Linked DNA regions of Lepisosteus oculatus. The protein of the gene in region 2 interacts with the protein of the main gene of each other region in a biochemical or structural test. Links are inferred from orthologs where the notes say so. Each region holds a gene or a part of one and is shown on either strand. Other genes may lie near its edges. The genes, in order: prmt6, hmga1b and prkcab.

The links.
Region 1: of the proteins of hmga1b (region 2) and prmt6, one has a biochemical effect on the other in vitro, tested with the Homo sapiens proteins (2 studies listed by BioGRID, with this or other methods). The link is inferred for Lepisosteus oculatus from reciprocal best matches to the Homo sapiens genes HMGA1 and PRMT6.
Region 3: of the proteins of hmga1b (region 2) and prkcab, one has a biochemical effect on the other in vitro, tested with the Homo sapiens proteins (2 studies listed by BioGRID). The link is inferred for Lepisosteus oculatus from reciprocal best matches to the Homo sapiens genes HMGA1 and PRKCA.

The regions. Positions count from the first base shown.
Region 1 is NC_090704.1:10,698,947-10,708,905, reverse strand, and holds prmt6 (protein arginine N-methyltransferase 6), read right to left. Parts: upstream 4,634-9,959; 5' UTR 4,578-4,633; coding exon 3,531-4,577; 3' UTR 3,084-3,530; downstream 1-3,083. UniProt on the Homo sapiens protein: Arginine methyltransferase that can catalyze the formation of both omega-N monomethylarginine (MMA) and asymmetrical dimethylarginine (aDMA), with a strong preference for the formation of aDMA.
Region 2 is NC_090700.1:29,517,911-29,529,111, reverse strand, and holds the start of hmga1b (high mobility group AT-hook 1b), read right to left. Parts: upstream 4,946-11,201; 5' UTR 4,837-4,945; intron 4,733-4,836; exon of another isoform or gene 4,529-4,732; intron 4,249-4,528; exon of another isoform or gene 4,230-4,248; intron 4,140-4,229; exon of another isoform or gene 3,472-4,139; intron 2,633-3,471; 5' UTR 2,613-2,632; coding exon 2,499-2,612; intron 1-2,498. UniProt on the Homo sapiens protein: HMG-I/Y bind preferentially to the minor groove of A+T rich regions in double-stranded DNA. It is suggested that these proteins could function in nucleosome phasing and in the 3'-end processing of mRNA transcripts.
Region 3 is NC_090704.1:46,204,069-46,215,850, forward strand, and holds the start of prkcab (protein kinase C alpha type), read right to left. Parts: upstream 5,409-11,782; 5' UTR 5,203-5,408; coding exon 5,033-5,202; intron 1,113-5,032; coding exon 1,081-1,112; intron 1-1,080. Other genes in the region: beta-2-glycoprotein 1, read left to right, coding at 10,073-10,142, 11,215-11,391. UniProt on the Homo sapiens protein: Calcium-activated, phospholipid- and diacylglycerol (DAG)-dependent serine/threonine-protein kinase that is involved in positive and negative regulation of cell proliferation, apoptosis, differentiation, migration and adhesion, tumorigenesis, cardiac hypertrophy, angiogenesis, platelet function and inflammation, by directly phosphorylating targets such as RAF1, BCL2, CSPG4, TNNT2/CTNT, or activating signaling cascade involving MAPK1/3 (ERK1/2) and RAP1GAP.

The DNA.
Region 1 (9,959 bases), on a different chromosome or scaffold from region 2:
GTCCCTTTAGCAATTAATCAAAGTTTTGAAAATACCATCCTAGTGGACATTGGTAATTGTGCTGCAGAATAAGATGATACAGTAAGTGTGGATTACAGACAAATCAACAGCTAAGGTTGGGGCAGGAACATCTAGCCTGTACAATACTTCACTTGAGTGATTGATGGCTAACTGACTGCAGGGCAGAACACTGATCAAGTCCTGAGACCTTAGTTATTACCCTTCCTGTGGGCTTATCCTGACATGACAACATTCCAGTAGGACAATGTATGTCCTCATGGCGCTCATATAACAATGACTTTCTCGCAGGATGAGAATTATACATTTGTGGATGCCCTACTTGCTGCACTTCAGCAACGGTGAATATTTGTAGAATGAGCAGTGATAAAGTGTGGCACCTAGGGATCAGAACCTAATGAGCAGTCACATGGTTGTCCACTAAAGACATGAGAATTTCCTGAAAATAATCTTGTGATTTTTTTAAAGTGATAAGTTTTTTATGCTGAGAATACATAAGCCACACACAAGGGTATTTCTATAAATTGAACAATATATCCCTTGGGTGGCACAGTGGTTAGCACTGCTGTCTCACAGTACTTGGGCCCTGGGTTCAGTTCCTGTGGTGCTATCTGTGTGGAGTTTGTATGTTTCCCCATGTTTGCATGGGTTTCCTGTGGGTGCTCCAGTTTCCTCCTGCCCTCCAAAAACATGCTGGTAGGTTAATTTGTTTCTGTAAAAACTGGCCTGGGTATAAGTTTGTGTTTGTGCCCTGTGATGAACAGGCATCCCATCAAGGGTGTATCTCACCTTGTGCCCATTGATTGCTGGGTTAGGCCCTTGCTCGTTAAGAACTCCTCTGCTCTTAAGAGCAGTGTCATGGTATCTTTCACAACCATGTAGTCAGAACCTTGGTTTAATATCAAATCTTACAGCAGACTGTCTCCTGTCATATACTTTGGAGTATGTTGTCTACAAGGAATAGTGCCACCTACTGGCTCACTACAACTCTTACAGAAACAAATTTGTTTCCATTGACGTTTTCAATGCTAACACCAACCAGGCACAGCCTTGTTAAGCTTCCACCATCCAGAGGATGACACATAATTGACTTTGTACTTTCAGGATTTGGGTATGTTCTGAGTCAGCTAGTTAATCTTTCGTTTACTGCATAAAGGGATAAATTCACTGTAAGCCCCCTTAACTGAGAATATTGGAATATTTAATATTCCAGAAACAGAGGACACTACAGTGGTCAGAAGACCCACAATGGATGTTATACACAGTTGTACTGTGTGTGCAGAGAAGACTGTATTGCTGGAGGTGGCAGCCCATACCACAATCCACAGACTGTTACAATAGCTACAGGTTTTACAAAATGAGTTCTGCAAATAAAAAAAAAGTGGTAGATGTTACAATACTGTCACATATCTGAATACCATTCATCATCCAGTAACTTCACACGCAGCACACACACTGTAAAGATTTAACATAAGATGAACTCACTGCTCCTCTCCGAGTTTTCCAGAATTCTCTTCTGCCTTGTGCCTCCCATCCCCCCAAAAAAACAAAGTTACTCTGGAACAGCCATGTGCTAAGGTGGCTGGTGCCGAAGATGTTTTTTTTAATCAGCCTTCTTCAAGAGCATCTCGGTACAAAACATCGTCATGCTAGCTCAAACTGAACTCTATAATAAAAGCAGGGTTTTGCTTACCAGTTCCTGCTGCAGCAGTTCATGCCCCCATGGACCTTTGCTGCAGCCTTAAATTACAGTCGAAGGACAGCCATATTCTCTCAGCCTTTGTGAGCCCCAGTCTTATTGCTTTCCTGTCTTCACGTTACCATTTCAGGCTTATATAAAATCTAAAGGTTATATTATCAGAACAACCATTAAATAAAATGTAAAGGCCAGAGTATGTTTCACGGTTTAAGCTATGAAGAGGTTATTTTAAAACAGCACATTTGGGGAAAAGGCCAAATAATTCATGATACAGCCAGCACTGTTAGGCTTTTTGTATCAATTTTTGGCAGTAAACCTTTTTTACTCAGGACACCCATAAATTACAAGTCTCCAAGAAAAATCAAGCTCTGGTATCACTTTGATCACATTTGAAAAGAAAATTTCTTCCAAGCATCATTAGAAGTCATTATACTAACCATGTTTTTTTTAGATAAGGACCTGTGGGTGTCTACTTCATTGAATGACTCTGCACTGAATACATTACATCTACAATTACCTGAGGATTCACATACTGAGAATTGGATTGTACCATTTACAGAAAAGTACTTCACAGTACTATTATAGATCTACACAAAAGTATGGTATACATCTTAGGTCTTACCTATTTTCTTCTAGAAAGTACAAATATATTATAACTATAGCCAAGAATTGCCACCATAGGCTGATTGTAATCTGAAAGATCATAAGGGGCAAGGTGAAAGTTGAAAGGTCATGGCAGCAATGGGGTTTTCCAGGAGATTCCTTTTGACTCACAGCACCCAGTCAGGAATTCTGCTTCCACAGAAACACAAAGTACACTAAATTGAAAAGCTACTCAATATGCATTTTAACAACTCTATTATGATCTTTGAATCCTTAAAAAGTGGTTTTAAGCAGTGATGTGCATCTCTAAAAGGCCAAGTACAGCTATTGAGAAAGGATAGCAATGCCCAACGTTGATAATAATAATAAAACATAAGAACAATTCTAAAATAGAGGAGCTCATTCAGGCCATCTGGCCATTTTGGCTGGCAGTACCTTATTAATCCAAGGATTTCCTGAAAGAAGATAAGGTATCAGTTTTAACCACGCAAACCACTTCAACAAGGGCAGCTTGTCCCACACTCCCACAACCCTTTGAATAAAGAAGTAGCTGAATTTTAAATGCATTTCCATGTTGTTTCTACTTGTGTCCTTCGGCTCATTAATACATGTTCTGCTTGGTATTTCTCTCATCACTCACTCCTGCACTGAATAAGTAAACCTTAATCTATGAACAACTCATATTTAGCCACATTCTGGGATTACAACAAAATGCTCGATTTCAAGACTGTTTTGTTCAAATTTCTATGACCTCAAAAACATCTGGATTGAAACTTGTTTTATTTTGTTACAGACCACTTTTTGAATTAGTTCCGAGCAAGCTCTTACAATTTCAACATTTCACACTTTTTACATAGTCTTAAAATTTTAACATCCTTCAAACAAGCCTCACACAGGAAAATGCTTTCGCACACATTCGCTTCAAAACGTTTCACAGTAGATTACAAATAAATTTGATCTAACGTTTATGGTTTATTTTGTTAATAGCTCATGTTTATAAAAATACTTTTAACATTCTAACAAGCAGCATAACTTCACATATACACATTAACTTTATTCGTTAAAAAAATATCACAATACAAAGGAGAAATAAGTTTACATATAATGAGGAGCACTTATTTCTAGACATGGTGGGTTTCAGGACTTTTTTTTAATTAAAAAGGGTCTAGACTTGACCAGGCACACCAGCAAGACATCACGGTACATTATTTTACTGAGGGTCTGAGTAGCCATCCCCCATTGTAAATGTTTTTGATTTCTTTTTAAGATCTCCTATTGTGTAGTCCACGTGGATGCATATATGTCTTGAGCTTTCTTCCGAAGGGTACAAGGTTATTTCTCCCTCGACCTTGGTGTCCTGCATTACGTCAATCGGTTCGTCCAAATACAAAACAGACTGCTTCCAGTGAGTTTCCTGTTTGAAAGGGGAAGTCGAGAGGACTAAAGGTTTCTCTTCACCTGGAAAATTCACTGAAAACCACACGCACAATGCATTTACACAGGAGGATCCAAAACACTCACATGTGAAGGACCCTTTTACGCGTTTAAGCTGCTCAGTCGTTACTGTGTACAAATCTAACTCGGCAAATTTCGCAGGATGAGAGAGCACGTCTTCCACAGTAACCATGTTCACAGTGATATCATTATTCATAATACACTTCCGTGCAAAGTCAGACATACAAGACATATCCACACCATACTGGTCTTTCACAGTACTCCAGAAACTGAGTCGGTCTTCCACCACCAAGTCATTAATGGGAGCAACATACAGCTCAGCTTTAGAGGGTAAAATGAGACCACCAGGTTTTAACCATTTATCTCGAGCGAAAATCACTGAATTCAGCATAGACTCGTGGAGCAGTGCGTATCCCATCCACTCGCTGACAATCACGTCGACCGCCTCTGGTAGATCTGTCGTCTCTAATGTACCTTTTATAACATCGATCTTGTCATCCATCTTATTGAGTTTTACGATTGCCTTCGCTTGGTCAGCTATTGCACTTGCTTCCACGGCGTACACCTTCTTTGCCCCAGCCTGCACACAGAAAATGCTCAGAACACCAGTTCCTGCACCAACATCCAGGACAACTTTACCCTGGATCGTTTTACTGTTCCTTAAAATACCCAGTCTATAAGAATTGGTGCGTACTTTATCTGCAATCATTTCTTCGTGGATGGTCACGTCGGAATAACTATCAAAGTACAAACTATCCTGAACACTTTGATCTAGTTTCCTTTTTTTCGTAAATTGAGTCATTTTGCCGTGTCAAATACCCACGCCACTTCAGCTATACTGTACTCCGCGTTTCCCAAGCTACCTCGAGGGAGGATGTAATACTGAATCATGGGAATCGTAGTTCTTACAGGAAGTAAGTTAATTAAGTTAACTTCCTCTCTTTTCTTTTGTACTACAACTCCCAAGAACAAGGGGAATTAAAGACTGGGGACTCGATTATGTTAAATGTATAATGCTTTTAAGGAGTGTAAAGAGAGGGAGCGTAAGGCTGTAATTTCATGATGCGTCAGAACAAATTCTCAGGACAAACATACGTTAATGGTATTTAAAATTAAACATAACTACAACAGGGAGCTGCGTCGGCGTGCAAGCTGTAGAAGAACAAGCAGAGGCTAACTCCACAAAGTAAAAGATACAATTATACCCTTTTCCCAGTTTTCAAAGTGAAATCAGCCTGTGATGGTTATTTAAAAATAAATCTCAGTCTTAAAAACGACTTTTTATTAAGTTGATCGATCCTTATGCACAGGAAATAAAATCACTCCAGCACTTATTATCTACAGCCAGCTAAACCTCCAGCTGTTTCTATCATACTGAGCAACACATTAAAATAGAATGTCTGCTTACTAATCATAGTGACAGCTCTCACTGTGACTGATTTCTTATTGTATTGTGAATAGGCATCAACCTCTTTCAACTATAATTATATACGTATTTCTTATTTTCTCTATCAAACGACTGCAGTATTGCACTGTTCCGGGTTACATGTGAAAGTTTGAATCATTTTAAGTCATCAGTTTAGTTTACTGACGATCATTTCCCATCTGTGTACTGTAAAGCTGGATGCTGTTAGTTCATACAAAGTTAATCTGCAGTATCATTTCTGCAGTTCAGTTGGCTTTGGTTAAGGAGTTTTCACAGATTCTCTTGAAGAGAAGCACACCATGCACTTTTGGTGTTGATAACACGGTCGTATGGATTAAATTATTGATGAGGTATTCTTCTGCTTTTTGTTTCTTCTTTCCTTTCATCCATAACACAGGGTACCCAGTATTTTAAACAGTTATGGTGACACTGGTGGGTGGTACAGTGGGGCAGTAGTTAGCATTGTCTCAGGGGTGCTGGGGTTCTGGGTTCAATTCCACACATAGGGTGCTATCTGTTTGGAGTTTGTGTCTTTTTGCCAGGTGCTCCCATTGGCCCTGGTGAGATGGTACTGTATGTACTGTGTGTCTGCCCTGTGATAGACTGGTGTCATGTCCAGTCCAGTGTGTATCCTGCCTTGCACCTGTTGCTTTCCAGGATAGACCCCAGCTCCTCTGTGACCATAAATTGGATGCAGTGGTTAGAAAAAAGGAATTTTATAGACATCTAATTGGCTACTTTCAACATCTAATTTTTCTTCCAAAAATCATTGTGTTCTGTGCTGTTATGGTGAGCTAAGGAAGAAGATATGTTTGGTTTATTCTGAATTAAAAAGTGATGTGCTGATAGTTTCTTGACTCTGCTTTCATGCTTTCCTTATACTGTAAGTAAAAGCAAGAACAGTTTGAAGGTGCTTTTATGTGTTACAGAAGCTTCACAGACAGCCCTGCTGGGAGAAGTGTGACTAGTTTAGCTGTGAGCAAAACCATAGTGCTTCAGGTTCCCTAGCAACTTTTCCATACCAGGGCTCACTCTTAATCAGCAACAAGGTACATGAAAGCATCCCTGTTATCTCCAATATTTTTTTGTCTTTACTCATGCTTTGAAGTGAAACTATCATTTCACTGCAAAGAACAGCTGCATTATAAATAGAAATAAATACATAAGACCATAAGCCTTAGTATATAAATGAAGCTGCTCTTATTCAGGGGTCAAACAGTAATACAAAATTAGTATGCTGCAAGCACTACAGGTGCAGCACCACACATGGAAAATTAAAGCTATAAATGCACTGAACAAGTGGTAATAACATTCCTTTAAATGTAAAGTTTTAACAACCAAATAATGGTTTTTGCAACTTACTGTATGTGTGATGTTTAAGCTGTAATATTACAGATTTAATTTTAACACTCTTGCAATGGTAGAACAGTTACAAGGGGCATTTTAAACAAATCTGTAACATTGTATTTATTAATAAAGAATGCTTTTATTCTAAAAATGCATTGGTTTTTGTGTAAGATGCATGCCTTAGTAACAGAATACTGTTCTCGCTCTTATCTGCAATTAAAGATTTTAAGCATTCCAGTACAATCAGAAAGCTCATGTCAAACATGTATTTACTTTTGCTTTTGTTCTCCGTCTTTTCTAGATTTTTTAGAATGAGAGTTTTATATAGTTTTAATTAATGTTTAACAACAAGAAATACATATTTTCTTAATGAGTGGATAGCAAAGCTTCATTGTAATAAAATGCTTATCACGTTTTAGCTCATTAAAACATGAAAGTAAGACAAAATGGCATTTCAGTTGATCTACTATGACTTTTGAAAACCAACAAATTGTTACTAATTTCCAGTTTGCAAAGATTCTTTTGTGAAATAACTTCATATGAATCTATTTGGTACAATGACAAACACACATGGAAGTTAAATTATTGGAGACCCGTGGTTTGTTTGGATAGATAAAAATGCAAATATGTCAATGCTGATTGAAAAGTCTTAGATACTTAGATGTTTTAGATATGTGCAGTTGTATGGTAAGGAGACTGTTATACCTAAAAACTAGGTTATTTGATACCTCAAAATTAAAGGAACAATTTTAGTAGAGAAGCGGATGAGATCTGTCAAAATATCATAAAATGATTTTGTCTATTCTTTCTTACTATCTGTGTGGAGTTTATATATTCTTACTGTGTTCACATGGGTTTCCTCCAGGTGCCCTGGTATTGTGCTGCAGTCCATAGACATGCTGGTACTTAACTGGCTCCTGTAAAACTGGCCCTGGTGTGAATGTCTGTTTGCTTGTGTCTGTGTATTCTCTTTGATGGACAGGCTTCCCATCCATAGTGAATCTTACCTTGAGCCCATTGCTTGCTGTGTTAGGCTCCTGCTCCCTTGTGCAGTTTAAAAATTGATGGATGGAACGTGACCGTTTGTAGATCTACTGTATATGGGTGTATACTGTACCTGTAGCTATTTATGCATACATTTATTAACCTGAGAGCTTTTATTACCACATTTATTCTAACAATTTCGAATGTATACATCAGCATATATACCTTGTCCACTTGTTTGCACTTTATTTGCAGGTTGACATTTAATTAACAGCCAACAGTTATTAATTGTAAAAGGCCTGTGAAGATATACTATATACTGTATATATATTGAAGTCACAACTACAACTACAAAAATCTAGAACCTTCATGTTTCCAGGAGGACAGAATTGTACAGTATATGGTACTGCATTAAGGAGAAACTGCAAAAGTTAACCAACAACTCAAGGGCAGAGCAGTGGCACTGTGGCTAAGGATCTGTGCCTGTGGCTAGAAAGTTGCCGGTTTGAATCCTGCAGCCGGCAGAGGCATCTTACTCCCTTGGGCCCCTGAGCAAGGCCCTTAACCCTAGCTGCTCCAGGGGTGCCATATAAATGGTTGACCCTGCACTCTGACCCCAAGCTTCTCTCCCTGCCTGTGTGTCTGATGGAGAGCAAGCTGGGGTATGCAAAAAGACAAATTCCTAGTTCAAGAAATTGTATATGGCTAATAAGGTCATCTTCTTCTTCTTCTGTCTCTTATAGAATGTAATATTGGAAAGCAGTTTAGAAATGGATGAATGGGCAAAAGAGTTTTTATCAAGTTATATGTCTATACTTTTGTTAAATCCTTAATATCTGAAATTATAGAAAGCATATTTCCAGTGCTCGAATAATTAGATTGTCAAGATTGGATTACTTTTATAAAAGTCTTATTATTGGAACTGATATCATCATGTAATGGAGAAGTTGCTTTTAAGAGTGCATTATTTATCAGAAGTCAAGAACATTCTAATCTAGTGCTCTGAATTTCTTTTGTAAAGTCACATCTTTCTTTTCCAATCTGTAGCTAAGAAGTGGGCGATATTAAAAAAAAAGGTAACCCTGACTATTTTGGGTCATTTTAAGCATAATCCCCTTTTAAGTTTTAAGGAACCAATACCAACAACGCATATGATATTTATTTCTTCTCTTATACTCTTATCACAAAATGTAAAGCTCTTCAATCACACTTGAGACCAATGGGTAACTTAACCACACCTGTGTATTATCTGACATAGTACAAATGGTATTTTATACAGTATATGACTAAATAAGTATAATGACAACAGGATTGTGCGCAATAACAAAACACCAACATTTTTCCCTTAATTCAAGGGCATTAGCAGAAACACCTTCCAAGCATGTAGCATACAACTTTGCGTTTTATTCTTTTCCGATTTTGGAATAAACCTTAGATTATTACTTTGTTTGTATGCATGCAAATATGCTAGGAACAATGGTGTTACCTTTTTATTTCACACAAATGAAAATTTCTTAAAATACTATTTAAATGGCATATTTCAGTTTTCTTCCTTTTACTGTTCTTTGCTGACCGTGCCCTGATGTTACACAGTGTGTGCACATTATACTTTACCAATGTGACTTTCCTTTTCTGTAGTGCTGAAACCTGTCTGACAAGGCTTGTATGTGGTTTGTTTGATTCTCATCTCAGGGGTCTATTGATAGCTTCAAAGTATGGACCACCTGCTATGTCTTTCATCATTCATGACCTTTCACTAGTGCAACCTACACACTGTAAGTAGAGCACTGACCTGGAATAGATTTTAGATAGATGTTTTTAAAGCGACTAGAAAAAGGCCCTCTACTTCAAGTTAAAATTTCTTTCAGGATATCACCTCACATGACATTATAGTTTAATTTTTTTTGTCTGTTAATTGCATTGTATATTTCATGCAATGAGGGCACTATCTGTTTCAACATGAACCTGTTTGCTAAAACTGAACAACCTACCTAGATCTGTCTTTTTTATAAATAGGTCTACTTCCAAGATGTATTTTCGTATTCCCCACACAATTGTGTTGAAATTGTAATTGTTGCAGATGTTAAAATAAACCTAGGCCGATATTATGAACTAATTAAACAGTACCAATTTTCACCTTTTGTTTTTTTGTTAAAAGAAAGCAAGACCTATGCTATTGGACAGATTTAAGTAAAATGGGCAGAAAGCCAAATTAATTCTCATTATTTTGTTAGGAGAATATTGTTTGTGCAGAAATCACTTCCTTGAATTTGAACTCTGAATTAGAAATACTTCTAAAATATAACTTTGTTTACTGTATGTCACTAATTACAGTAATGTTACTGCAATATTCATTTGTATCATCATTAGCCTACTAAAACATATGCACACTTTTCAGCAGTTCTGTCTCTTTTTTAAGCTAATTTC
Region 2 (11,201 bases):
AAAGCAAAGGAATAAATGCAGGCAAGATGCTTTCATATAATGAGGACAGTGGCACCATATAAACACCTAAGGAGAACATCATGTATGCCACAGGGAAAACAGTACACAAAATATTGACACAATCCCTCAGACGCTCAGTTTCCAAAGAGAAATAATCCTAATTGAGGTAAAATAAGGGGTGAGGGGTGGGGAGGCTGACTTGTTCTGCACAGCAAGCTGTCCTGCCTCAGCTACAGCTATCTGAGCTTTAATAAAGAAAGAGGAAGAAAATGGGGAGGGGATTTCTGCCTAGCCTGGGAGCTGTAATAGACATGAATAATACATCCGGCTGTATATTATAGTGGTGCAGGTTTTTTATTACCTTCCTGGTCTGTTTACAGCTGCAGCCATTAGCAACCCTGTAATCTAACACCCACAGCAGCTTCAGCAAACGACAGCCCTCCCGGCCAATGACATGCCTGGCTCCGCTTATCGCTTGCCAATCAGGGGAGGGGAGGAGGAACCCGCCAGTTAGCAGTGGTTTAGGGGCTCCGTTCACACAGCTTTGACAACCCGCCAGGCCAAATGAAGATCATTACAAATGTACAAAGGAAGGAGGGAAGGAATGCCCCCTCCCCACAAAGCTAGTCAGAAGTTTCAAGCCAATGGCGGTCTAATTTAAACAAAACACTTTTTAAGATTTTAAGATGTACTCATTATAACTTTTAAATCCATCCATCTACTTTCTGACCACCTTATCCAATACAGAGTCACAGTGGAGCCGGAACCTATTCTGGCAAGTAATGGGCGCAACGCAAGATACACCCTTGATAGGATGCCAGAGCACACACAGGGAATGAAATGGAGCACCCAGAGGAAACCCACATGAACACCGGAGAACATACAAGGTCCAGGCACATAACAGCTCAGGAACTGAACCGTGAGCCCAAGTGCTGCAAGACAGAGATGCTAACCATTTAGCCCTTACCTTTTAATATATATATATATTTTTTCAAATTCTTAAACAAAAACATACAGGAATTGCCTTATAATACACAAACTAGAGTTGCTATTATCGGGTGATTTCTAACAACAATCATTAAAGATATCAGTACATTTACTGTAAGAAAAGGACTTTTCTGAGAGAATATCTTGACCTACAAAAATTTGAAGCAAAGGGAAAAAAACAGCCCTTTCAGGTTAAAGGCCAGTAAGGAGAGTTATAAGCAGGAAGTTGGGAGACGGGCTGAGAGTCGCCTCGCAGAGTTCAGCTGATAGAGCCAAACACTGGCAGGAACATCTACCACGCAGAACAGGAACTACACTGTGCCCGAGTTAGACCCTCACTGACCTCGAAGAATGCAACTGAAATCATTCACTCTCCATTACCTTTTGGATAACATTTAATTTCAAGTTTTTTTTTATTAAATTAAATGAGAAAAATTCTTATTACCCCCAAATGTTCTGCGCACCAAGCATATACGCATCAGAGATCTGAAGCACAGCTACAGAAAAGCAAGCATGCAGCCATTATATGTATAAACATAGCAGATAGCAAATCCATAGCTTCCAAATGATTCAGAAAGGCAGAACACAATACACACTGACCTAGTCAATGTCTGAAAGGCTTTAATGATAATGCTTCAGATGTGCTTTTCAGAGGTTATATGAGCGTTTACGGTGTACATTCACAAACAGTCCGAGAGGACAAATGACAAACCCTAAAAATGATGGCAGCTGAACACTGAAACATGCCAAACCTGGACAACAGCCTCCTTACTGCAGGTTACACTGATTTATCTAGGAATTGAATTCATTGCTTTTCTCTCCTCCCCACTGATAGCTGATGTGTGGTGAGCGTTCTATGGCTGCCGTCGCATCATCCAGGTGGATGCTGCACATTGGTAGTGGTGGAGGGGAGTCCCCATTACCTGTAAAGCACTTTGAGTGGAGTGTCCAGAAAAGCGCTATATAAGTGTAAGCAATTATTATTATTATCATCGCTTAAGGTCTGTTCCATGTGTTTACAGTCTGCACCTTTGGTTTAATTTCAATGGGATTTCTGAATTCTTTCCAAGCCAACGATCAAAATACCAAGAGCACAGGCTTACCGTGAAAAATATGTTTGGGGGGGGGGGGGCAGGAGCACTGAAGATATTTCACAAATCTCCAGAGGAGAAGGGCTAAATTTAACAGGTCTCATTTCCATGGTTACATCCACATGTTGCTTTCCCTAGTGTGAGTGGACCCAAATGATCTCAGAGGGTCAGATTAGGTTCTTTGACTACAATGAACAGAGATTACCTCAACAGGGGGGCTGCAGGTTCAAATCCCAGATGAGACACTGCTTTGTACCCGTGAGGATGGTACCTCACCAGACGTGACACAGCAGAACACCCAGCTGTATTAATGGGTACAGACGTGACTCAGCCAAATAAATTAGTATGTTAGCAATTGGTAACTTAGCCTCAACACTAGCATGATCAGAGCTCAAAGTGTGGTTCCAAACTCATACTTACTTCAAGGCTCTTTAGCTGTGGCTGCTTTCTAGGTCTTCCTCTCCCTCTCTTCTCTGTTCCATCCTTGTCTTTCTGTGACAGAGACTGGTTGCCTTTTGCACCCGAATCGCTCATATTCTGCCCGTTCCTTTATTCTAGGGAAGAATCACAGAAGACGGGTTAGCGATGGGCACCTTTGAACGCAAGGGCTCCCTTCCCAAAAGCAACTTCTAGCAACCACAGACTCGAAAGCGTGCAAGGTTAAAGACAAAGAGGATTTGTTCAAAAGAAGGGAGGGAGATTTTGAAAATCAGAATTTCAAAATCACTGAAGAATTAAACTTCAGCACTATGCACCCACTGACAATTTACAAAGTATTAAATTGTCATCTAAATTTAACGTTATAGATCACGCAGCTTGAACAGAGGCTCTGAAGATTCGCAGTTCCCAGCAAACATTTGGATACCTTCACTCCTAGAATCGTTAAGAGACGGGAGTGCAACATCCTAGCATACCCTGAGCAGACTGGCCTGTGTAATACAACTCCGTACAGCGCAGACACCTGTTGGCCTCTTGTAAGCGATAAGGGGATTTTTTCACCGTTTTTGAAAGAACGAGATAAAAAGTACTCATAAGCGCCACCACCTAGCCAAGTTCTCAAGAAAAAGTATTTTATCGAAGCAACATTAAACAAGAAATCTTTCATGAACACCTGTGCAGCTTTCTGCTTTCAAACATATTCGCATTTTGCAATTTCATTTCCACAAGAGGGGTTGGTGTTTTCTACATAAAATGCAAGTATTTGTTTTACCTAGCACAAAGAGACTTTTATAATTACATAACAGTTAAAATCCTCACGGTGCGGCTACGAGATTATTAAACTCTTCAATGCACACGAGTTCCACCACTTTAATCCAATTTGACGCCTTTGTTGAAAGCAAAAGGCGCCAGAGACCACAAACCACACACGCTCTCCGAGACGTTCATAACCTACCGTGTGATGTGAAATACATTATTTATACAAACATTCTCTGCTGTGGGAATAGTGTCAGGGGAGATTGCAATAAACACTAAAAACAATAACACGCCAAAAAACACTTAAACTCGACAGAAATTCGCCAGATTAATCATGCAACATTCGAATACGATTTAAAGGTACTATCTCCATGCCAAAAATCAACTTCGCACTTATTGCAAAACTTTTCCTTGGTACATTTTTCTGTTCAAAATTAGAAGACAAGCCCATTGACAGGTTTCTAAGAGAATAGGAATCGCCTCACACAGAGGACACAGCAGACCTGTGAACGCAATAATCCATCTAGTATAGACTTGCATGGAAGCGGGTTTTAATTGGATCAACAGATTCGTAAGTCATTTCTTAAAGTTAAAAAAACTGACGTGAGAGGGGGATTAATGGAAAAAAAATCTGACATACTGAAAAGCGCAATTCTTAAAAACAAAACAGTAGTTAAAAGGCCAAAATCCCAAGACCACCATTTAATTCATTTATAAACAGACGACAAACCGCAGTTTTACGTGCAAGCACATGAAACGTTTCCAATGCTTTTTTAACACACGAAAGCTATTCAGAGCTCCAGAACGCCATAACTTGCAGCTAAAGGATGTAAATAATACGTCCCTAAAAACGTGTATAATATTTCTGAAAGCAGGGTCGCTACGGATGCCCCGCAGTTCCAGCACGAACAGGAATATGCAAAGCAAGCACAAATACAATATCAGCCCGACACCGACCGTGAAGAAGCACCGTTCTCGTTTTTATACAGAGACGGGAACAGGCGGCTGCAAGGTCAATACAAACGCAATGAAAATAAATCTTTCCCCCTTTTGCTGTGGTAGCTACCAAGAGGACGATCAGCAAACAAGCATGTGCAAAACATACATATATACATTGCAGAAAAATAACAATGAAACGTGCGGATTCACAGTCAGAAATCCAACACTTGAGCTACATTTTAACTGCAATCGTAAAAATCCAAATAACAACACATACTTGGACATAAATTACGACAAAAAGGTGGCCGTTCACTTACATTACAAGCAAGGCCGGTTTTAGAGCTCACAAACAGCCGTGCTGAATTCCCTGCTTCGGTGCTTGTCCTTTCCCCCCACCCCCCCACAGTGATGTCCTCTGATTAAATTAAAACAAAAGCTCCCTGCTAGTCTGGCTTGCTTGCTCGCTTGCCTGACCGGTTTAAAGCTCCCAGCAGCTACAGTAGATATAACGCTAAGGAAATAAGCATACTAACCCAGCCCTTTAAAAACCTCAGTTTTTTTTTAAGAAGTGAGACAGAGGAAGTAAAAGAGAGAGAGAGGTGGTGGTGGTGGGGGGATAAATTACCAATTTTTTCAAAAAAATGTTGCAGGTCCTGGAAACGGTCCAATATGTGCTAAAAATAGCGCGCAGTGTTCTCCAAGCGAAATAGAAAGCCCGGGCAGGGGGACTTTAGGACAATTTGAGGAGGTTCTCTCAAGGGGGAAAAGAACAACTGTAGGGGCGGGGATATGATAAGTAGGCCGGTCTTCGTGAAGCTCTTTAAAAAGGGCTTTTAATTTTTTTGTAAGCGCAGCAAGGAGCGTACTTTCTAGGAAATCGTTTCAGTGCAACAGTGCAAAGTCAGAAAGCAAGAGTGCGCCCATCAAGTTTTTTTTAACTTAAAGTCTTAAAGTTATTACCGGTGTAACCCTTTCAATAGAAGAAAGATACAACTAAGGAGCATTCAGCTAAGCTTTGTTCTTGTACCTATCCATTCTACATATTGTCCGATGGCCCTGCGTCTTTGTTAGAAAAAAATTAACGCAGTTTGATTTGCAGTGCATTAAAGCCCTGAAATTAACTGTATACTTTTAAAAAGAAATATAGATGCTGTGGAATTTTCTTAATTCTGTTTTTTTTCTCCCAATTGCTTCCCCCCATAAATAATAAATCAGCATTTTGAACAATAAAACTATTCTAAAAATGAACTGGATAAATCACATGAAATGGATGGAGTTCAATAGAATTGTTTATCAAATAGTTTCAAATATTAATAATAATAATAATAATAATAATTGCTTACACTTATATAGCGCTTTTCTGGACACTCCACTCAAAGCGCTTTACAGGTAATGGGGACTCCCCTCCACCACCACCAATGTGCAGCATCCACCTGGATGATGCGACGGCAGCCATAGTGCGCCAGAACGCTCACCACACATCAGCTATCAGTGGGGAGGAGAGCAGAGTAATGTAGCCAATTCATAGAGGGTATAAATACAATAAATATTGTATTTATACCCTCAACAAACTAACACAAAATGCAAATTAAAGTATTTCGTCACTGTATTTCTCGCTAAACCGTGTAATCCGTTATTATTTTATGAAAATTTTATGAGTCAAGTAAAAAATAAAGATAAGCTAGAAGCCATCTACAGTAAATTAGTTTTGCAAAGGCCATCTTCTATAATTAGAGATTGCTGTGCTACACCAGTACACCTTTGCACAAAAAAGACAGTATGTCAGGTATTATTATCCTAATTTATCAATTTTGTGTGCTAACCTTTTTCCATACATTTATCAATTTATATTAGTATTATTATCAATAATATGCACTCAACTAAAACTATTGTTTCATGTGATATAATTTTCCAGACCTGATAATTAAATTAAGTAAATATTATTCCTGCACAAAAAATTGTCTTATTTATCTGGTTATTTTACCACACTCTTTACTGTTGTCCTAAGCAAATGTAATTCCTCTGAAAGCAGTTTAGCAATTGTCACCTTTTCCATGTCGTACACTTCACTCTTCTTTGAAGAATATTTTTAAATGAAAATTCACGGTGACAGGAGACTTTCCAATCCAAATGTTCACCAGTTTGCTAGTAATTAAATTAGGAACTGTATCCAGCCTTTTGAGAAAATTGAGTCTTCTGTTCTCAGTCCTACATTGTGTCGAGGTTTAACTAGTTCTTTGAGCTGAACCTTTCAAGGTTTGGATGCATGCTTTATTCAAATCCTTGAGTGGTACAGTGCTTTCAAAACTAAAGAGATTCAGCTCCTGGAACCTGTGTTAAAGTGTGTGTCTTACCTTTGAGTCTTGAAATGTTCTGAACTTTACTTTGCCTTCTTGTTCTTTTGTGCTGCTGTAGTTCCTTTGGATTACAGAGCATTCACACTCAAGATCAAATAACTAGCCTTTTCAGCCCAGAACAAACCCAAAACCTGACAGTGAGTTTGGTTTGTTTTTCAGACGCAAACTCAGAGTGGACAGGTGGGCATATTGTAAAAATAATGTAATTAATAATAATTGCTTACACTTATATAGCTCTTTTCTGGACACTCCACTCAAAGCGCTTTACAGGTAATGGGGACTCCCCTCCACCACCACCAACGTGCAGCATCCATCTGGATGATGCGACGGCAGCCATAGTGCGCCAGAACGTTCACCACACATCAGCTATATCAGTGGGAGGAGAGCAAAGTAATGTAGCCAATTCATAGAGGGGGATTATTAGGAGGCCATGTTTGGTAAGGGTCAATGGGAAATTTGGCCAGGACGCCGGGGTTACACCCTTACTCTTTTCGAGAAATGCCCTGGGATTTTTGATGGCCAGAGAGAGTCAGGACCTCGGTTTTACGTCTCATCCAAAGGACGGTGCCCTTTTTAGTAGTGTCCCCGTCACTATACGGGGGCATTAGGACCCACATGGACTGCAGGGTGTGCGCCCCCTGCCGACCCCACTAACACCTCTTCCAGCAGCAACCTTAGTTTTTTCCAGGAGGTCTCTCATCCAGGTACTGACCAGGCTCACACCCGCTTAGCTTCAGTGGGTTGCCAGTTGTGTGTTGCAGGGTGATATGGCTGCTGGATATACTTTAAAAACAATAATACATTTTATCAAAACACTTTTCCGTTATATACTTTGCTCTCTCTTACACTTACTTGGATGCAGGAAACAGACCAGGCACACAACAAACTGATTCAATCCTTGTCATCCTCTGTCTTTATCCTTTTTGGGGATTTGTAACATTTGTTTCTTCGACAGTTTAAGAGTACGGAGACTAATTGAACTAGTTTGTCTTACACCTAAGAGAATGTTTGCTTATTTCATGAACGTTTTCCATGGAAATGGCAAATCCCTGTAAATAAACTTTTATACAAATTAAAAATGTTTAGGGAGTGGTTGCTCTTTCAAAATGTACGCTATACCATAACAAAATTCCCTTCTCCCATAGGTAGGATAATAGTGAATCCCTAAATTTTCATAAGCACATTTCTTAACAGTCTGAACAGCAGTTATGCTCACAAAAGCAATATACAGTTGATTTTAGTTCTTGATTACAAATTACAAATCAGTCAGATCAGGGATGTCTTATTTGGATAAAGTAACATACTCTAATCTAATAAGGGGGATAACTGCTGAATTGTGAGCAGATGTTAGTTTACTTTCACATTGTCTGAGAAGAACCTTCACACATAAACAAGTGCGTTCTGAGTGAAACAATAAACACATTTCTGATTCAAAGCTATAAAACAGAAACTAGCACAATAAATATCTAGTGATTTTCTATCCTCTTCCTCCAATTCATTTTTCAAAGGCTGCATCTGAGGAGCCAGAGCCAATCCTGTCCAGCAAAGACTGCAAGGCAGGACAGGATACCTTTCCATCACAGGGCAGACACAAAAACAGGCTCAAACACACCGTACAGTTTTCCCAGAAGACAATTAACCTACCAGTATGTTAGGAAACCAGAGCACCCGGAGGAAACCCAGCGAACACAGGGAGAACATATGAACTCCATGCAGAGAGCATTCCAGGTCCAGAATTGAATCCAGAGATAGATAGATACTTTATCGATCCCGTGAGGAAAATTGCAGTGCAACAGCAACTTAACACAGCCACAGTGTAACGAATGATACAATAATAATAATACAATACATACAATACAATCAGTACAGTGAGAAGTGCACTAAGATGAGTTACTCACAGTCCAGAACACACAAAGAACAAACCAGAACAGAACAGTACAAAAAAAGTCATATTGCACAATATGAGCCCCAGTGTTGCAACTAACTACTGCAACACCATGCCACATGTCATAACCAGCATAATAAAAATAATATTTTCTCTCTTTCATTTTACTGTATAAAGTAGATTACATCAATTTCAGCACCAAAACAGCCTTTTGGGGATAAAACAAAACAGCCTTTTATATAATAAAGGAGACTAAAGCAATCATGCTGCTGTCCAGCTTTGCTGACAGCATTCCCCAATGCAGGATGAAGATTCCGAAGTAGGACACTTAGAGATAACCAGACACAATTTTCTCTTAAGAAATCCAATTTTAAATTACCTGGAAACAAAATATAGTTATTTTTAAAGATGTTAGGGGGATGGAGGCTTCACACTTCAATCACTGAACAGGAATATGGTATTACGCACAGGTCTGGAAGCAGCATTCTGAATAAAATTTTCAGCCATTGCTCATTTGACATTGAGCTCTTGTCTAAAACTTCTGATAATCTCAGGATCCTTTTTAGGTCCTTGGCTGCTTGAGCTAAGAAAGATTCTTCAGTTTTTTTAAAGTAAAAGACACCAGAACAGGTGGCACAGTGGTGCAGAGGATAGCATTGCTGCCCCATTGTGCTGGGACCGTGGGTTCAATTCCAAACCTGGGGTACTATGTGTGTGGAGTTTGCATGTTCTCCCATGCCTAATGGGTTTCTTCTGGGTGCTCCAGTTTCCTCCCACAGTCCAAATACATACTTGATGGTTAATTGGCTTCTAGGAAAATTGGCCTTGGTGTGAATGTGTGAGTGTCTGTCTGCCCAGCAGTGGACTGGCGTCTTGTCCAGGGTATACCCAGCTTTGAGCCTGTTACTTGCTGAGGTAGGCTTTGACTCCCCATTGACCCTGCAGTGGAAGAGGCAGTTAAAAATGGATGGATGTCTGGACACGAGAACAAATACAGAGCATTGCCAGCGTTAAGGAACTCAAGGGGAGAGAAGATTGATGGATTTCTGACAGGTCAGAAAATTAAAATGCTTCCTCTGTTGAATGTAAATATCTGGACGAATATCACACCTCTTGTATTGTCTGGAGGGGGGTGTGTGAACTTTTCAACTCAGGAAGCAGCTTGGCAGAAACACAGTAGGAAACAATGGCTCTTTTACACCTATTGGGGGTTAGGAAAAGCAGAGGATGTTATATGCAGCATGTTCTCCTTTTTCTATCTTTGTACTAACACTGTGTTGGATGTTTCTGACCGGCCACTTACGCAAGGAATCTATTGTTCCTTCCAACATTTTATTTAATATGATGCTCAGAAGCACTGTATCATTTATTGTTGTTATCAGAGTGGTTTGTTTATTTGTCTGATCTTTTATCTAAAGCAAGTTACAGAGTTTACCATTAACTAGTTTTGTTATATAAACAAATGTTTGGAGCAGTTTATACAGCTGGAATTGCTGGGGCAGCTCAGGATAGTCAACAGTATCCACACCTGGTATTTGAACCCCTGACTCTATGTCCAAAGACCTACACACTTATCCAGAAGTTATTTAGAAACTTCCCAGAAGAAGCCATTTCTTCTGAAATCAAATCTGGGTCAATTCAATTGAGAAAACCAAGAAAGGTATCTAAACTGAATGAAGAAATGGTTTATGAAGATGAATGTGGACACTGACAAATATAATAATTGCACACTGTCCCTCTAAGCAGCTGAGTTGCTGTAGAGGGGTTGTGTGTACAGTGGTGATTGAAATCTCCTTTGTTGGTACTTTACATTTTAGTATTGCACAAGTCAAGTGTGGAAACAAGGCATTTGTCAACTGGAAAATGTGCAGTTATTAGACAGAAATAGCCTGGAAAAGTGCAGAATAGTCACAGATTACTCACCTGTGATCAGGCAATCAGAGATCTCTCAATAGGAGAGACAAGACTCATGATCTATGGTGCCAGATTGGCTAAATCAATATTGCAATCATCTGGAGGGCTTGGGCATTTGTGATGGCAATAGAATGGCCACAGTTTGTCTGTTTAGAGAGCTCAGTAATGTTTTGCAGAATTAAGTCAGTTGTTTCTAATGCCAGTGACTGTCACTGAGCAAAGAGGATATCTCATCATAACAACTGTGAACAGAGAACCCCAATTCCACATGTTCACAGTGAGCACTTTTGCATTGCTTTCCATTTTCTGAGTCACCCTGCTGTGCATCAGACTTCTGTCAGTTTATATCAGTGGATTCAAATGTGATTTTGATTTGGATTGCAGTTAAAGTGTCATGAAAGTTCACCAAACTGTTAATCCACAGTAAGAAAGCCCATATTTCTGATCCTAAGTGCAATGTGTCACTCTGGCTGTAGGTTTCTTGTTTGCACCACTTTTAAAGAGTGTAGTATTAAAGAGTTAACCCTGTCTGCTGCCTCTGACTGTGATCTAGTTAGCAACATGACAAGAATTGTTTTTTACAGACTGTTTTGAGTCTTCTGTTGGCACTCTGGATGCCATCTGTACATGTACACACTGTAAAATCAAGTACTGTACAGGTGGTCCTGGAATAGTCTGAATTGTGATGCCCTTGGTCGGTTAGTTAATCTCAATCAGTCTGTTTAGGAATACATTTGAGGAATCTGGTAATGTCTTAGGAGAGTTTCATCTCTCTCCTCATCCCAGCCAGAGTTCCAAATACATCACCAGTTGAGTGACCTAAAACTGGGCTCC
Region 3 (11,782 bases), on a different chromosome or scaffold from region 2:
GCAAACACAGCCCTGGAGAAAGGGACTTGGTGCTGGGGTCGCCAACTGTGCAAAGCAACAAAGTGTGTGTAGGTAAACATGCATGGAGCAGAAAACAACATTCTCAGCTCCAGTGCGGGGATTAAAAGGCTCGGATTTTTCTTCTCGTATTATAATACACGAGATCCTTGCTATTTTTAGAGGTCTTGCAGCCCCTTGGGGTTCGGACAAAGCCGAGGAACTAAGAAGTGGTTCACGTGTGCCCGGCCCGCTGGCGACGAGGCCGCCCTTTCCCTGCCGCCCGGCGCTCCGCCAGCAGGGGGTCTTTCACGCGGGGGATGAAGCCCGGGACCCTGCCTTCTTTCTGTACAGCGACCCGCGTGCTTTCAGACCGCCCTCAACAGCTCAGCGGCCGCGGAGAGAAAGGGCACGAAAGGAAGCGAGTGAGGGCGCGAGCCGTGCGGGTCACGCCAAGCAACCACTTCCTGCCCGGGCGCGGCTCGCGGGGATTCGCAGGCAGCGCTGCAGCTCCGCGCGGCGGCTCCAGCACACCGCCCCTCCACCTGCAAACCTCTCCGCGGGCCGGGGAGCCAGCGCTGGGCCTCTCCACGTGAAGGAATGACTGCTCCTCCCTGCCCCCTGACACCGGGAGCTGCGAGCTACAGACACCACTCTGCCTCTCCTGGCCTTGAAGGAGAACAGGAAGATGCTACTTCACCGTCGGTTCTGAAAATAACAGAGAATGGCTCCCGCCCATCGTGACCCCCAACAACTCACGGCTCTTCAGTCTCGATCCTGCTCAGCTCATCTCTCTGTGCCACAATCTTCACCTCGTGTGAACGCGTAAGGCACCCGCCAGACTGAGAGAGCCAGAGGATACCCGAGCAGAGCAGCACAGAAGATACGCTGTCCGGTGAAGCGAATGACGAGGACAGACAGTATCTCCGTTTAGAGAATGGATGTCCACGTCCTCCTCTGCGCTAACAAGTGCTTGCAGATGATGGGAAGTGTTCTCTGGCTAAAACAGTGGCATTCCTTTAGGCTGCCCAACAAACCAGAGCAGGCGTCAAGACAGAATAACTCTTTTCATCAAGAACTTACCCTGGCACTGGAATCCTTGCTTTCCAAATCCCCTGTGAAAGGAAAAAGAGAGAAGAATCAGAATACGCCAGAATTATATATACAAGCGGTTTGACAAGCTAAAGGTTTTCGCATGAACGTTAATAAAGAGTAATGAAGGAGACTGGCGCCCCACAAGTATGCGGCTCTTAGCCACACAGAAGAGGACTTGGCATGTCATGGCTAGCGCTGGGGGAGGTTTGCACGTTTGTGTGATGCACAAAGAAAACAAAACTGCTTTTATCAGAGACCTTCACAGAGTGCTAATTCAGCTGCTTATCCGTTTGTATTTGCTTCTTCTCTTCGTTACTTCAGGAGCAAAAGCAGTGTCTGCTGAAATGTCTGTGTATCTGCTGTATCTCGCAGCCCATCTGTCCACCATCTGTGGCCAGTAGGATGCATTCTTCTCCATCTTTCTCTCAGAGCTCATTGAAAACCTCAAAACACCACTCAAGAGGAAAGACATGTTTTTAATTTTACTTTTTTTTTGTTTCCATCTATATTATCAGTAGCTCGGCTGGCAAATTCATATTGTATTACTGCGATGAAATGATTGTTATCTTAATTAGGAGCTATTTCTACTCTAGAGCAAAAAACCTGTGAGAACACTGTACTGCACACCTAGTGTAAAAACACTTAACTGAACCACTGGAGCTCCTCACAGTAAGAACAGGAAAGTTGCAGAAGGTGCTCTAACAAGCCACTGCATTCTGAACAGTAGTACTAAGCACACTACAGCACCATTAGTTTCTGAAATTGAAACTAATGAAACTAATTGAAACTAAACTTGAAATTATTCTTACTTTGCATGCAGTAATTGGCAGGGATCAACAACAGACAAAAAAACAGCTGTTTGGAGAGAATGAGCATTCATTACACAGGACTTTCATTACAGAAGAAAATTAAAAAATTAAAGTAGTTCATGTAGGTGGCTGCATCAGCTTGCGTAGGCTGCAAAGGAGCAAGCAAAGGTTTATTCCAGCCGAGAAGAAAAGAGAAAACATTTCGGCTGCAGAGCCTTCTTCAAGTGTCACACCTGAAGAAGGATCCACAGCTGAAATGGTGTCTCTCTTGTCTTTTCAGCCTGAAAATTAAAGAAGCTTCTTCACAGGACTATATTTTATCTAATTGTCTTGGCTTAATCTCTGATCTTAAACCTAAATCTGTTTTTAATGTTTTTGTATGAGGAAGACCAACACTGACCAGCGCCTCTGACCTCATGTGCGAGAGCTCTGGTAACTTTGATTTCAGAACATGTCAGATGGCCAATCTATAGCCAACTGATCCCAGAACCTCACCCCGTTGTTTCTGGGAAGAAGCCGGGGAATTCGCTTCAGTGATGTGGCTGGGCAGCTTGTCCCACTCTCCGAAGGCGTGCACTTTGAGCACCAGCCTTGTGCAACACCTGCCTGCTGGCGTACGTGAGGCGGCGTGATCGAGATAGACAGAGCATGCCCTCTACCTCCTCCCTGGGCGATAACTCATGATTAACTCCGCCTTGCTTTTACTGTACATAGCGCTTTTCAGCCCAGAGAAGTATAAACACAGGAGAGGACCCACATCCCCCGTCACTGAAGAGCAGCCCCCCAAACCCCCCCACAACACCCCAGGGGTAACACAGCCCATCAGCCCCAGCAGACCAGCAGATCAGGTGGAGCAGTGAGAGCTGCTTCAGCAGCTGAATGAAGAGGGATCTTTAGCAACACCAGACAGCACAGGCCAAGAGCACAGCGCAGCAACTACGCCAGTACTGTCCAGGAGTCCTTCACGACTGAGGAGTCAATGAACTCAATAGAGTCAGCAACTCAGTTTAATGACTCAGACTGGGGACAATATTTGGGAAATTCAGGTTCAGAGGTCAGAGCGCCACCTACAGGTCCACCAGTATCACTTACAGCAGCAACCTGGTTTCCCTTGGAGGCCTCCCACCCCAGTACTGAGCAGGCCCGGCTGAGCTTCCGAGACCTGGGGAGGTCAGGCTGTGAGGTGGAGACAGACTCCGAGCAGCTCGAGAGGCAAGGCTTCACGGCCGTAGCCAGCCCTCCCAAACCTATAAAGGACTCCGTGAAGCAGGACCCTGTCTTCTTCCCTTGTTGCAGACTCCTCCGTTTCTCCCAGCCCAGGCTTTCACAAATCACAACAAGATTGCACACCAAATGTTAACCACATTGGTGCAAATTCTCAGCTGCTACCTGCCACACATTTCCACATCTTGCTTTATAACTCATGGAGCACAACCCCCACCACCACCACCACCACCAAAAACGTGCTGCTGTAATTAGAGCACACCTCTTGGCCACAGCACTAGGACACAAAATGTGCTGAGCTGACATGCAGCGCAGTGAAATACAGATCCGCACAGTCTAGTCTCATAGATGGAAATTAGAGACGTTATAAAAAAAAGTTTTGCATACACCCTCCTGCACAGCATTCAGGGCAGCTAGCTCTAGATAGCAGCCCACATCATTCACTCAGGCCGTCTGTGACCGACCTGATAGATGGCACCTCTGGGGGAAATTATTTCCCCATTTCCACAGGGGATTAATCACTTAATGGCGGTCAGCCGTCTGTGGGTACCAGTCAGGTTTGCCCGCACGTCGCCGGCGACTGCAGACCCTTTCTGTGCACTGGCGTACGGATGCGTGCGGTGTCACACCACCAGGCAGCCCCGTTTCCACAACAATGGAAACGGGTTGAAAACGCAGGGGACCAGGAATTCTCTACCGCTGCGGCAGCCTTTGAACAAAGCTCGGTTCAAGAAGACCGTGCAAGTGCAGTTATCACCAGGGCCGCGCGGGTTTGTTTTTTAACAGCGGTTTTCTCCAATACAGTGGCTGAGCGAAACTGCACGCCGGTACTGATAATCCACGAACACGCAGGTGCGCGCCCCGCGTTCAAGGGAAATGAAGCCCACCAGCGCGCTGCAGACTGTCACACACATCTGTAACGAGAGCCATTAAAAACGCAACAGATGCCGTTGGTTCCAGCGCTCAGGTTGTCGGCGTTTTTAATGAATCTCGGTCTACGTGGAAATTAGCCTGCGAAACACTTGTTGCGAATCTTAATTGTAAACCCCCGGCCTACAGACGTGTTAGGCGGTGTGCATTCAGAAGCATGCCTGCTGTGTGGCAAAACTCATTTGTGTTTTAATGCAATTAAAAATTACAGCATAGCTGGGTTTCCGAACGACGTGTAACCCCCGCGGGGACATCGCGGTTCACAGTTGCTAAATGGAGCTGCCGACTGCCGAAGGCACTGTTTGTTTAACTTGCTTCGGGATTGCGAGAAGGTTGTGCGGGAACTTCAGACCTGTAGATCCAGCATCATCCTGGAAGCGCTTTCACGAGAAAATCCGCCGAGACGCAGACCGCGGGTGAGTCGAGTCCCTGCGCTCTTCACTTTTTCAGAATTTTGCTGAATACATATCGATTGTTTGGAGCATCAAAAAAAAAAAAACCTTCTGCATCTTGCCATCTTTCGTATCGCATCCTCGCAAATACAAGGAAACCGGGGGCGTTTTTCAATCTGGAGAAGACAAAAGCCCCCCCAGATGAATCCTAAACTTTAAAAGGGCGCAGAACCCCGTGAGCGCAAAAGACCCGCACGACGCCGGCCCGGGACACCAAGTAACTAAACTACCTGCGGTCACAGCCCAGCCCAGCCAAGCCCAGCCCAGCCCAGCCCGCAAAACTCCGCGGCTCAGCAGAAAAAAAAAACCCAACTTGGCATCTTAAGTTTCTGCAGCGAAACGGGAGAAACCGCCTCTCCCCGGCGGCTGCGCTTCCTCCCAGTTTGCACCAGACTGGCCGCGGAGAGGCAGGAGTGGGAGACGCCGTGCAGGGAGGAAAAGAGTTATTCCAGCAGAAAACTCCCCGTCGGCGGACACTTTCGAAACTGCCGAGGGGGGCCCCGGATTTAAAGAGGGCTCGCTTACCAGATGAAGTCGGTGCAGTGGCTGCAGAAGGTCGGCTGTTTGAAAAACCTGGCCGTGAACTTGTGGTTCTTCACTTCGTGGACGTTCTTCTGCCTCAAAGCACCTTTGCGGGCGAAACGGTTCGCTACGTCCGCCGAAGGTGGCTCGTTGATATGTATCATATCAGCCATGTCAGAAAGCGACAGAGCCCTCCGTTCGGCTTGGCTTGGTCCCGTCCCGTGTGGGTTATCTTGTGCTGCTGCAGGAGTTTCGTGTCTGTGAACTGCGGGCGCTGTCGTTGCAACTCAAGACGTCTGACCAAGCGGCGTCCCCCCTCGCCGGCGCTACAACTAGTTAATGACAGCTCAGACAGCGGACTCTCCTTCCTTCTTTGACTCCGGCTGACGTCAGTGCACATTACACTCCTGGGGAGGATACGTTCATTCCCCGATGGAAAAAAAATGGTAGCGCGGCGCGCCACCTGCTGGCCGTCGGGCTGTGTTGCAGGGCTGATGTCTTCGTAATGACCGGTGAATTTAAAAAGTGCCTGTAACATTATTGAGAGTGACTTCAAGTCCTGAAGCTGCCGCAGTTCTTTGGTATCTTTAAACTTTTAACTGAATGAGCTTTAAGCAGCTGGACACAGGTATGTTAACCTGTTAGAACTGCAGAGATTGATTCTACAAGCCCCGTTCATCTAGTAAATAAAATCCTCAACTCGGCCACACAGTTTGACAATAATTCTACACAACGCACCAAAAGCATCATATGCTGTAACAGAACCAAAATCAATTAATCTAACTCTCTTACATATTTTGCCTTCCATAGAACACAACTTTTAATACGTGTCAGCTTTAATAAGATAGCAGCTACTGTATATCACCCTGCAACTCACACCTAGCAGCCCACTGAAGCTCAGTAGGTGTGAGCCTGGCCAGTACCTGGATGGGAGACCTCAAGGGAAAAACTAAGGCTGCTACTGGAAGTGGTGTTAGTGGGGCCATCAGGGGGCGCTCACCCTGTGGTCCATGTGGGTCCTAATGCTCCAGTAGAGTGACAGGGACACTATACTGTGAAAAGGTGCCCTGTTTTGTATGAGACATAAAAACTAATGTCCTGACTCTGTCATTAAAAATCCCAGGGTATTTTTTGAAAGGAGAAAGGGTGTTAAGCTGGTATCCTGGCCACATTTCCTATTGGTCTTTACTAATCATGGCCTTCTAATAATCCATCCTCCATCTATTATAACTCTATTCTACTGATAGCTGAGAGCTCTCTGAGACCCACTGAGAGCTGGTGTGTGGTGAGCGTTCTGGCGCACTCTGGCTGCTGTCACATCATCCAGGTGGGGCTGCACACTGGTGGCGGTGGAGGGGAGCCCCATTACCTGTAAAGCACTTTGAGTGGAGTGTAGAGAAAAGTGCTACATAAGTGTAAGAAATTATTATTAAGTGCTGTGAAATGCTTTAACACGTTTAAGCATGTCATTGCATTTGTGCATATGACAAATAAACTAAACTGAACATCTGAGTCAGCATGATTTTGAGAACATGTGACTTTTGTTACCTGGGAGCATTTTCAGTACATGGACATGTGTAAAGTATAAGAACAGGACAGGTCCAGAACTCACGTCTCAGCTCAGGTCCATCAGCCCGGAGTATAATGTACTGTAGGAGAAGGCCAGAGGAAAAGGGAAAAGATGGGTCTTTAATCTGGAGGTGAGCAAAGAAGACTGGGAACATCAGGGAAGAGAATCCTGGAAATTAGGAGCAAGGAGTCAAATGGATGAAAGCCAAAGGCGATGATAACCTTGGATCAGACTCATGGGAGCTCAACTTATGTTAAGACGGTTGCTGTAGCATCTATCTACATGTTTTGAAAGGTTTGAATTAGTTAAAATCTCAAGGGGGTACTTGAGGCAACTAATTTAGGTGGAAGGGGTTCAGCTGGGAAGGTTACTTGGAAAGTGACTGGTGAGTTATACTGTGCTCGGTGGCGACACCTTGTGGTGGATTCTATGTTTCTCCACAGGGAGTTCTCAGGGGATGTGGAAGGCGCACAATAATAATAATTGCTTACACTTATATACACTGTAGCGCTTTTCTGGACACTCCACTCGAAGTGCTTTACAGGTAATGGGGATCCCCTCCACCAGCACCAATGTAGAACACCAGAACGCTCACCACACATCAGCTATCAGTGGGGAGGAGAGCAGAGTAATGAAGCCAATTCATAGAGGGGGGTTATTAGGAGGCCATGATTGATAAGGGCCAATGGGAAATGTGGCCAGGACGCCAGGGTTACACCCCTACTCCCTGTGATTTTTAATGACCACGGAGAGTCAGGACCTCGGTTTTATATCTCATCTGAAGGACAGCACCTGTTTACAGTATAGTGTCCCCATCACTATACTGGGGCATAAGGACCCACATGGACCGCAGGGTGAGCGCCCCCTGCTGGCCCCACTAGCACCTCTTCCAGCAGCAACCTTAGTTTTTCCCAGGAGGTCTCCCATCCAGGTACTGACCAGGCTCACACCTGCTGAGCTTCAGTTGGTTGCCAATTATGAGTTGCAGGGTGATATGGCTGCTGGCTAGACAAGTGATCCAGTTTCTCCCTTAGCAGGAGTGACATTGCATGACATTTCTAGTCTAGATTGAGATTTACTTCTTCATCCCTGAGCCCTGTGCTATCAGAGGTACTTTAAATATTACAATGAAGGTCAAGTTGTGTTTGGAGCGGAGTGGTGGTTCTGTGGCTCAGGATCTGTGCCTGTGGCTGGAAGGTTGCCGGTTCAAATCCCGCAGCCGGCAGAGGAATCCTACTCCATTGGGCCCCTGAGCAAGGCCCTTCACCCCAACTGCTCCAGGGGCGCTGTACAATGGCAGACCCTGCGCTCTGACCCCAGGCTATCTCCCTGTCTGTGTGTCTCATGGAGAGCAAGCTGGGGTCTGCGAAAAGACAAATTCCTAATTCAAGAAATTGTATAGGGCTAATAAAGTGATGTTGTTGTTGTTGTGTTTGGAGTGATGCTAGGATTAGGGTTAGTGTTAGACTGTCCACAGTTCAGCTAGAATAGTGTGGTGCAGGGGTCAGGACATTTCACTTGTCACTGGCTGGTTGTGGGTTTGAACTCCAGGTGAGACATTGCTATTATACCCTTCAGTGAAGTACAGTACTTCACCTAAATTGGTCCAGTAATCAGCTGTATGCATGCAAATGTAAGTTGCTATGGACGTTTGTAAGTTGGAGTCAAATATAGTCCAGAGGAAGTGACTCCATCTCCGGCCTATTGTAATGTTTCTTAATTTCGTAAGTCCATGACAGTAAGATGCCTGCAAGTATATGAAAACAGTAAAGGATTAATTGCACAGTAAAAGGAATAAGTCAATATGTGCATATTAGGATACCTACTGTAAATGTCTGCTTTTTACCAGATTTTGGCTATAGTGTGAATCCTACTCCGCAGTGAAACTGGTCCAGTAGGGAAATTGTAGTAATGATAGTGGCGTACAGTTAGGTCTGCTCCTCTTTAACAGTAACTGTGTATTTTGTACCATGATAAACACTCGCCTTTAATGTACTGTCCACAGTTTTCACTTGTGTCTGCTGGTTCGTGTTTCACTGTTGGATCAGAAGAGATCCACTGGGCTCGCTTTGTCAGGGCCTTCGGGTACTTCGGGTACAAGTTTCCCTTTTAGTCTTTTTGTCTCCTCTGTTCAAAACTAAAAAGGTCCAGCTCTTGTTGCCTGTCTCCTTTGAGCTCCAGAAAGTATCTGCCTGCTCTTCCCTGGACTGATTCCAGAGGACAATCCAGATCTTAAATGCTGTACCTAGCCAAGGCACTTACACGAACGAGAGGAAAACTGCTTATTAAAATTTAAAATACTTCCCAGATCTTCTGGGGGCTCCTCGGACTGTACCGGAGTCCCACAGAGTTTGGGAACCAGTGTCACTGGGAATCAAACCAGTTTTGCCGAGTCAAATCAAAGTTAAAAAACAATAATGAAAAACAGAAAATAGATGAATAAGTCAATATGTGCGTATTAGGATACATTAGAAGATATTTTCAGTATCTTTAGATAAACTGCTCCTCTGGAACGATTGATTTATTCAGTAGCAAATAAGAGGAAACGTGTTTTAAACCTCAAGCAGCCAACAATTTTTTTTGTTTCCAGCTCTCACTGTGTCTCATCTGATTGTCATCTTGGAGCTGTGCTGAGCTGATGGGCACGTCACAGAGCTGAGGGGCTGGTGTTAATATTAACCTGCTCTGCCTGCTCTCCCTCTGGGCAGATGATATAGTGTTTACCGCAGTGCTGTCTGTTATTTTATACACAGAAGTTTCTGATCTGAGAAAACTGCAGCTCCCAAAGCCTGTATCTTTAATGATTGTGGGTGCCAGCACAGTATTAAGGGACGCAAACAAAGAGCAGGCTTTACTGACCATGCAGGCAGACCCCAGGTGTTTTGCTTTCTTTTGCTGCCTTTAAAAAATATTGATTTCAAGAGAGTTACTTTTCAACTTTGGGTAAATACAACTGTGGTTTGGACTTTAGACCCCTGATCAAATCAGAAGAGAAAGGAGACCCCAGGGTTGATACTACTTATAATACTTTAATGTCCAGAAGAATTTAGAAACATCTAGAAGAAAAGGTGGAGGCTGAGTTCAAGCGGGGCGCTATTTTAAATCTGTGCTGAAGAATGTTGCTTTCTAGACATGCATATCGTTCAGAATTATTCATTATTAAGTTGGAAGTTATTTTTTATTTAGTCCTGAAAATGGACTATTTTCAGTTTAGACATGTTCAGTATCCTTATACTGTACTTATGTGCCTGAAGATGATTTTTATTCCTATTACTGTTGTTGTGTGCCCTGCAGCAGTGTTTGTGGTTGGTGTTTTTATGGAATGATTGGCTAGGCTTATCTGCTCTTATCTGTTGGCTCATCTGAGGTGGACAAACAGCGGTGTCAGCAGGCTGATCTCTTAGTCCGGCTCAGCTCTCCCGGAGAGGACAGACCCTGTGCCTGCGACTGTGTCCTCAGCCCTGCCAAGGAAGATGCTGTGGGGACTAGCTCTGCTGTTACTCTGCGAGGTCTCCCTCCAGCCCTCAGCGAACGCTGTCAAAGGTACAGTAGGTCCTGGCTGGCCTTCTCATTGAGCAGTATTGTAGCCATGAGCGACCTTGTATATAATATATATATTTATATATTATATAAATATAATCAGAGTTACATTACAAAGATACAGGGAATCAAGAAGACCTTTGATGAAATTCATCCTTTGATTCAGTTTGTAGCAAAACTGTTTGATAAATTAAACATTAAGAATATGTTGGGTCAATGAAGTCATCTGTTGTGAGATGAATTAAGTGTAGGAGAAATTAAAGTGATTTCCAAATAGGAAAATGAGCTACGAGCAGAATTACTTTCTTATGTTTGAAAATAGATTTCTCTGAATACTTTTAAGACAACTAACTCTTGGTTTTGGAGGGAATGTGTATGGAAAACTCAGATGAGATTTTTAAAAACATAATAAAATAATACAAGAAACACAACTGCTTGTTGGCAAAATTGTGGCGAGACTAAAGCTCATTACACACATGTATTATATACCTGTCCTGTTCTGAAAGGATTCTGGGATAAAGTTATTAAAGTTGTGGAATGTCTATCTATGCCCAGATAATTTTCTTCTTGGAAGAACTCCATGGGTGTAGTTTTCTGAAATAGATAAGTACCTCTTTAGAAAATTAAGAACAACTATTTTACAAATAACAAGATAATGGCTCAAACCACAGGCACCTCAAATCGGTAAACGGACTGAAAGAATTAGTGACGTTTATTAAATGGAATGGATAACAATGACCCACAGTCTTTTGGTCAGCTAAATAACGACTGCACTGGGCTGGTCGCCTGTCCTCCTTCTTGAACACGAAGAAAGCTATGCAAGTTCAAATGAAAGACATTAGAGTTCATTAAACAATTTCATTAATGCTCTACACTCCAATGCCACAGTTTCAGCTGGAGCTTTTTTGTCTTATATCTGCTGTGCTTATGTAAAATAAAGGTTTTGTAACCAGAATTTGTCAACTGCATTGCAACAGTGTCCTAATATACGTTTAACATCTAAGAGTAGTAAAATATTTTTCTGAAAGCACACCGTGCAGATTAACATCACACTGTATTGGCTGTGCATCTGCAGTGTGTGGGCGCCCCCCGCTGATAGAGAACGCGGAGATGGAAGACGACAGGCGTGTGTTTGAGGCCGGAGAGGAGACCTTTTACACCTGCAAGCCCGGATACAAAACCACAGGGGGCTCCAGGAAGGTGGTCTGCACCCTGTCTGGGGCCTGGAGCAGACCAACTCTGAAGTGCTCCCGTGAGTTTCTTACCGCATCGGAAATCTCCAGTTTCAGTTTGCAGCAACGACATCGCAGGCAGGCCTTTCCGTAAACACGCTGAAACAGAGCAGCACAGGGCAGACCTTCACACTTAACATGTGCAGTGAAATGTGTGACTTCCCAGGCCACGGTTAACTGGTAAAAAAACACTGCCCACTGGGACAGAGCAAGAGGTTTCTGGCAGACCAAGCGCCATGAAATTTGAGGTCAGCTGGTGAAATGGAGGTGTGACTCCATCATTCCTGGCCGGAGCTGCTGCTTCTGTGGAGTGTTGAGGTTTTTTGTTTGTTCAGTTATTTACAGCGCAAAACAGGCTGTTGTGCAACTGTGAAATTCCAGGGGAAATTCAGAATAAAAGCAATTTACTTT